2 linked regions of the Saccharomyces cerevisiae S288C genome follow. The protein of the gene in region 2 interacts with the protein of the main gene of each other region in a biochemical or structural test. Each region holds a gene or a part of one and is shown on either strand. Other genes may lie near its edges.

Evidence for each region.
Region 1: of the proteins of YPD1 (region 2) and SKN7, one has a biochemical effect on the other in vitro, tested with the Saccharomyces cerevisiae proteins (2 studies listed by BioGRID).

The regions. Positions count from the first base shown.
Region 1 is NC_001140.6:510,915-515,438, forward strand, and holds SKN7 (kinase-regulated stress-responsive transcription factor SKN7), read left to right. Parts: upstream 1-1,817; coding exon 1,818-3,686; downstream 3,687-4,524. Other genes in the region: serine/threonine protein kinase SCH9, read left to right, coding at 1-923; SET5 (S-adenosylmethionine-dependent methyltransferase), read right to left, coding at 3,991-4,524. UniProt on the Saccharomyces cerevisiae protein: Transcription factor that is part of a SLN1-YPD1-SKN7 two-component regulatory system, which controls gene expression in response to changes in the osmolarity of the extracellular environment.
Region 2 is NC_001136.10:32,903-36,034, forward strand, and holds YPD1 (Ypd1p), read right to left. Parts: upstream 1,017-3,132; coding exon 513-1,016; downstream 1-512. Other genes in the region: PHO13 (4-nitrophenylphosphatase), read left to right, coding at 1-332; GTPase-activating protein GYP7, read right to left, coding at 1,335-3,132. UniProt on the Saccharomyces cerevisiae protein: Phosphorelay intermediate protein that is part of the branched SLN1-YPD1-SKN7/SSK1 two-component regulatory system, which controls activity of the HOG1 pathway and gene expression in response to changes in the osmolarity of the extracellular environment.

The sequences.
Region 1 (4,524 bases), on a different chromosome or scaffold from region 2:
ATATCGCTGAGTTAGTCCTAGCGTTAGAACATTTACACGATAACGATATCGTTTACAGGGACCTAAAGCCTGAAAACATTCTACTCGATGCCAACGGTAACATCGCTCTTTGCGATTTTGGTCTTTCTAAAGCTGACTTGAAGGATAGAACAAACACATTTTGCGGCACCACGGAATACCTGGCACCAGAATTGTTACTGGACGAAACCGGCTACACCAAAATGGTCGATTTCTGGTCTCTAGGTGTTTTGATATTTGAAATGTGTTGTGGTTGGTCCCCTTTCTTTGCGGAAAATAATCAAAAAATGTACCAAAAAATTGCCTTTGGTAAAGTCAAATTCCCCAGAGACGTACTGTCACAAGAGGGGAGGTCTTTTGTAAAGGGTTTACTAAACAGAAACCCCAAACATAGACTCGGTGCCATTGATGATGGAAGAGAACTACGAGCTCATCCATTTTTCGCAGATATCGACTGGGAGGCCTTGAAGCAGAAAAAAATTCCACCACCTTTCAAACCTCACCTAGTCTCGGAGACGGATACCTCGAATTTTGACCCAGAGTTCACAACAGCTTCAACTTCATACATGAACAAGCACCAGCCGATGATGACTGCTACCCCGCTATCTCCAGCCATGCAAGCAAAGTTTGCTGGTTTCACCTTTGTTGATGAGTCCGCCATCGATGAACACGTTAATAACAACAGAAAATTCCTACAAAACTCGTACTTTATGGAACCTGGTTCCTTTATCCCGGGAAATCCAAACTTACCTCCAGACGAAGATGTCATCGATGATGACGGGGACGAGGACATCAATGATGGATTCAACCAAGAGAAAAATATGAACAACAGCCATTCGCAGATGGACTTCGACGGCGACCAACACATGGATGACGAATTTGTCAGTGGAAGATTCGAAATATGATTTCTCAATCGCTCCTCTTGCCCTTCCTCTTCTTTTCCTTTTCTTTTTATTTTTTTCTAATTTTTCTATCTTTTATTTCTACTTCTATTATTAATTTGTATCTTCTAATCGTTTTTCCCACTTTATCGAAACATTTCTTCTATTTATATATGTAAAGTATGTATGTATTTTCGTTTTATTTAAACTCCAAAAAATGAATAATTGTTCCTGCAAATTTCTAGTTTATCACGTCTCATAATCACTGCTTATACCTCACCATTCCATTGTACTTTGACATATTTACCCCTCATCTATATATAATCAGGGCTTAAGTAAACGCTTCGCTGTGATTTCCCAAAGTCGGTTCGGAAATTATAGGTCGGTTATATCATCCGAAAAAAAAAAAAAAAAAGTTTTTCTTAAATGCATAGGTTTAAAGTCGATTAAAAGTAGGGCTAACACAAGTATAAGCAGGGTTTTGCTATAATAGGGATGCCATAAGTGAGGGCAGGGCTCATCGATGCGCGTACATGGATTTTCCGAAATTCTGAATTTTTTCTTTCTTTAACTATGAGCAAAATGTGGTCAGCTTTACTGAGCTTAACTGTCATCCCATCGAATGTGACAAGATTGAAAGTGCTTCCAGGATCTGAAACATTTGTCAAAGTTTTACTAACATTACACAGATATCCCTGGTCACCTTACTATCTTCCAACATCTTACCTAGGCTTGCTGCTTTTGTTTGGGTCATATATTTAACTCGCTCATTAGAGGACATTCTGTTTTTTCCAAGACCAACAAAAAAGCAACGAAATTGCTGTATTATTAAAGGACTGTTATAGAAGTTTTTTTATCCTCTCTTTGTTTCCATTATTCTTATTCCTATTTTTTCGTTGCTTACTTTTGATATCCACTATGAGCTTTTCCACCATAAATAGCAACGTCAATAAAACCACCGGCGATAGCAATAATAACACCACCGAGAACAGTTCGACTGCAGACCTTTTAGGAATGGACTTGTTGCAGAGCGGGCCTCGACTGATGAACACGATGCAGCCAAACAACTCTTCTGACATGCTGCACATTAACAACAAGACTAATAACGTTCAACAACCAGCTGGAAACACAAATATCAGCAGTGCTAATGCGGGAGCAAAGGCTCCAGCAAATGAGTTCGTAAGAAAACTGTTCAGGATACTGGAAAACAATGAATATCCTGACATTGTAACTTGGACTGAGAACGGCAAAAGTTTCGTCGTTTTGGACACAGGAAAGTTCACTACGCATATATTGCCTAATCACTTCAAACATTCAAATTTTGCATCTTTTGTAAGGCAACTAAACAAGTATGACTTTCACAAGGTTAAGAGAAGTCCCGAGGAAAGACAGAGATGTAAATATGGCGAACAAAGTTGGGAGTTTCAGCATCCAGAATTTAGAGTCCATTACGGAAAAGGTCTCGATAACATCAAAAGGAAAATTCCGGCGCAAAGGAAAGTGCTTTTGGATGAATCTCAAAAGGCTCTTTTGCATTTCAATAGTGAAGGCACTAACCCCAACAATCCTTCTGGGTCTCTTTTGAATGAATCCACCACAGAGCTGTTGTTAAGCAATACCGTAAGTAAAGATGCATTTGGAAATCTAAGAAGGCGAGTAGACAAACTACAAAAGGAGTTGGATATGTCCAAAATGGAGAGTTATGCTACTAAAGTAGAACTACAAAAGTTGAACTCGAAATACAATACGGTTATCGAAAGTTTGATAACATTCAAGACCATAAATGAAAATTTACTCAACAACTTCAACACTCTGTGTTCCACTTTGGCAAATAATGGTATTGAAGTGCCAATATTTGGCGACAATGGAAACCGTAACCCAACTGGTAATACCAACCCAGCAACAACAACAGCTATCCAAAGCAACAACAACACCAACAATGCTTCTCCGGCAACATCTACAGTTTCCTTACAACTACCTAATTTACCCGATCAGAATAGCCTAACACCAAATGCTCAAAATAACACAGTCACGCTACGAAAAGGTTTCCATGTACTGTTGGTGGAAGATGACGCAGTGTCTATACAGTTGTGTTCAAAATTTTTACGGAAATATGGCTGTACTGTCCAAGTTGTCAGCGACGGTCTTTCAGCTATCTCAACACTAGAGAAGTATAGGTATGATTTGGTTTTAATGGACATTGTTATGCCAAACCTAGATGGTGCCACAGCGACATCCATTGTCAGAAGTTTTGATAATGAGACTCCCATCATTGCCATGACAGGTAACATTATGAATCAAGACTTGATCACATACTTACAACATGGAATGAATGATATCTTGGCCAAACCATTCACGAGGGATGATTTACACTCAATTTTAATACGTTATCTAAAGGACCGTATTCCTTTATGCGAACAGCAATTACCACCTCGCAACTCTTCGCCACAAACTCATTCCAACACCAATACTGCTAATTCGAATCCTAATACGATTAATGAACAGTCGTTAGCCATGTTACCACAAGATAATCCGTCAACTACTACCCCTGTTACCCCAGGTGCCTCTATATCTTCTGCACAGCATGTTCAACAAGGTCAACAAGAACAGCAGCATCAAATTTTCCATGCTCAGCAGCAGCAGCAGCATCACAACGCCATTGCTAATGCTAGGTCAGACGTAGCCATACCGAATTTGGAACATGAAATCAACACTGTACCACATTCCTCAATGGGTTCCACTCCGCAATTACCACAATCTACACTTCAAGAAAACCAGCTATCATAAAATTTTACAAATAGCCTTGCGTCTAAGTTAGCAGAGGACATTCTGTATTCCTGAGGAGTTTCTTTATATTTATTATGTGATCTTGGAGGATTATCATTTTCTTTTCGTTCAATATTTTATCCCCTTCAGTTATTTCCAGTTATCTACATCAAAATGTTTGAATTTTATTTCTTTCTGCCGCTCTCAAATTCACTCTCATTTCTTTTTTCTTTGTTTTTCTTATATTTACTATATATATATATATATATATATATATATAGCCAAAAACAATAACAGACACAGTAATTTAGTATGCGTTTATCTCTTATCTTTCATCCACTGCGACCGAAACGTTTGAATCGAATCTGACTGAGGTTTTTCTTACATTCCCTTGTGTATCAACAGTTTCTGGTATGTCTAATTCAAATTCTTTTCCATTCTTCAGTATTTCTTTTAAATCTGGCTGGGCCTCTCTCATGGAAGATTTACGATTACCAGTTGATTTCTTAGAGCCATCTTCACTACTATCATTGGAATCTATTTTTTCTACTCCTAAATTAGCATCCGCATTCTTTTTCTCTAGATTTGGAACTCTTTCAAATGTAGATAGTTCATTTTGACAGCGGTCACACTGGCATAAGAAGCCCCAGTTAACTCTTAATTCCCTACGCCTCAACCTCACCCCATGTAAGGGATTGACGTACGTAATACGTATTTGTTCCCCCTTCTTTATTGGTTTCCTTGCATGCAACCTCAGTTCCTCATGTTCTTCTACTTGCTCAATATAGGCGTTTGGTTCACAATCATGGTTTATGAAGGAGATCCAATGATATACCTGGCCGTTATATTGATTGATATT
Region 2 (3,132 bases):
GTTATACATTTCCCGGTGCAGGCTCCATGATTGAATCATTGGCATTCTCATCTAATAGGAGGCCATCGTACTGTGGTAAGCCAAATCAAAATATGCTAAACAGCATTATATCGGCATTCAACCTGGATAGATCAAAGTGCTGTATGGTTGGTGACAGATTAAACACCGATATGAAATTCGGTGTTGAAGGTGGGTTAGGTGGCACACTACTCGTTTTGAGTGGTATTGAAACCGAAGAGAGAGCCTTGAAGATTTCGCACGATTATCCAAGACCTAAATTTTACATTGATAAACTTGGTGACATCTACACCTTAACCAATAATGAGTTATAGAGGAGCAATGCAAAATCTAGGGGTAGAATTACTTTTTGAAAAGGAAAAATATTCAGGTTTGTTGTTTTTATGTAAGTTGTATGATTTGATATACATATATATATATATATAATATATATTGTACATGTGTTTTTCCGGGGAAGAATGGATTATCCGGAGGTGTGAATAAAATGATGACGATTATAGGTTTGTGTTGTAATATTTAGATAACTCAATTCTCGCCAGTTTGAACTCCAACCTAGACTGGTTCAAAGCTTTTGCTATCAAGATGAGATATATGGAATTTTCGTCTTTATCGTCCACTTGTATCTTTATTTCCTCGTCATCTTCATCAATATTGATTCCATTAATAATCGATTTATCGCTCAGAGTGTTGACCAATTCGGTCTTGTTGGGGAAGAAATGTTCCATTTTTCTTCCCAAGTTTTGAATTCTTTCACAAACCCAGGCAATTCTTTGTAAGCCTAATGCAGCAGAAGAACCCTTTAAAAAATGGCCCAGATTGTCTAATTCGGTAAGATTTTTTTCACCGTCCAGCTGTCGTTGCATTTGAGCAAAAGTTGTTTGTGCCTGGTCGATAAATTGAATAATTAGACCTTTAGAAAAATCGGAATCATCGTCATCCATAGATATAATTTCATTTAAGATGGTCCAATTGATGATTTCTGAGGGAATAGTAGACATTATTGTGTGTATTTTCTTGTTTCCGAGAACGAGTGTTGTTATTTCTTTTGAATTTTTCAAAGAAATAAAACTATTACACGTCAGTGGTTATCAATGATCCAGAGCACAACTATCGACCAACCCAACCGGTTTAGAAATTAAAAACAATAATGTTCCTAAATATAGGTTCAATTAAATTTGATAAAAATATTAAACTTTTTATGTAATTTTTCTTCAGTTTTTCCGTTTCGGGCGGGTTACGGATGTATTGATGATTATGTGGCATAAACGAATTATATCTCCGGTATTCAATATGTAAAGTTCCGTTTCTATTTACCACTATTTAACGGAATTTTTGCTCCTTTGCCCTTCATGTCTTATGATAGGTTTTTTAGAAAGAAGCAGGGTCAACCTCTCGCTCTGACAAGGCAATACGCCGGTAGAGGATGAGGATGAAGAGGAGGATACGTTTTGTAAATCTCTTTCCATGACGTGCATCATTTTCTCAAACTTCTTGAACAAAAGCTCTGCTCTAACCATTAGGTCATTCCAATCCAACTTCCCGTTAAGTTCATTAAAAAATTTTAATATTTGGTCGAACTGATTTAGATGTTGTAAAATAGCTTGTGAGTTTTTCTGTAGAATGGCCAACATGAAGAATAATTGGAATTGTGAACTGTAGTAGAAAGTCCAGAAATTCTCCCAAATGTGCATAATATCTTCCATTTCAAATTCTCTCTTGAACCATACTAGAAGCATTCGAAAGCAAAAGAACAAGTTTCCTGAATCACACTTGTTTAAATGTTCGCTCAATTCGGGTAGCATTAATTGTACCAATTCCACGAGAGTTAACATTTGTTCATGGATGCCACTCTGGTCTCTTAGAAAATTTCTTTCCATAATGTCCATGAAGTGCGTAAAACACCAAAACGTTTTCCATTCTTCCTTCATGATGACATAAATAGGCGATAAAAGATCGGTCATCCCCTGCACGTAGCCTAAGTTTGTGTTGTAGACATTATAAGTGATAAGAATGTTTTGTAAATGTATCAAATGTGGGTTCCTGACTCCATCGTCTGCATCATCGCTCTCGTCATTAGCGGATTCGGGGCTGGTACTGTTATTTTCATTTGCTGGGAGTTGTTGTGGCGGTGGTGGTAATCCATCGATGGTATTGTATTGAAATATCTCCAAGTTTCTATCACAGCGTCTCACATCTTTAGATATTCTGAATAATTGATCGTTCCAATATTCCTCTTCATCTTCATCGTCAAATTGTAAAAAATCTTTTGACCAGGTTAGTTTCAATTGATCGTATTCCGCGGCTAAAGTTTGATCGATTTGTACCCTCTCGTCTTGAGAAGAATCCCACGGATATATTTCTAAGAGAAAACCCCAAACTTTCCCTCGCAAACTGTCATTTTCTAACCCACCATGAAATATGAAATCCTTAACTTCGTTTACCGTGACCCTCAGCCTCCCATCGTTCTCATCCCATAGCGAATTCCATTTCGCTTCCGTTAAAGGAAATTGTCTTTGCAGAGCATTATTTATTTCAGTATCACTTAATTCATCAGTTAGATTCAGGTCGTTGAAAATGTTATTCCTATACGAATCAAAGAGTTTGTTCTGCTTTTGATACCTCTCAGCTTCCTGTTTTACTCCTAATGACCAGTTTGCCAAATACACTCTTGCAGAGTCATAATCCTGTTCAATTTGTTTAACCTTCTCATTGTTCAGAAGCTTTTGCAAGTATTCATTGTCGATTTGTGATTTTTGTATGGGTGAGTTGTTAGTCAGCCAACTATCGATAAAATTGGTAGACTTGGTAGTCACGTCTGCTATCTTGCTCATTACGTTCCATTTCCATTCTTGGAATTTCTCGTTTAGTTTCACACCGGCGGTAGCGAGTTCAGTTGTATCTTTCTTCGAATTGTTATAACTTTCCAATAGATCCTTGGAAACGAAATTTCTCAAATCATTCAAAGAGGGATTTACTAACCAAAACTCTGGCTCTAAGTTTGATTTCTTGAGTTCCATCAGTTCGTTGATTTTGTTTCTCAAATCTACGCCACCCCAATACAATTCGTCCGAGTCATCAAATGGGTTCATGGATTTGCGTAGTCTTTTTAACTTG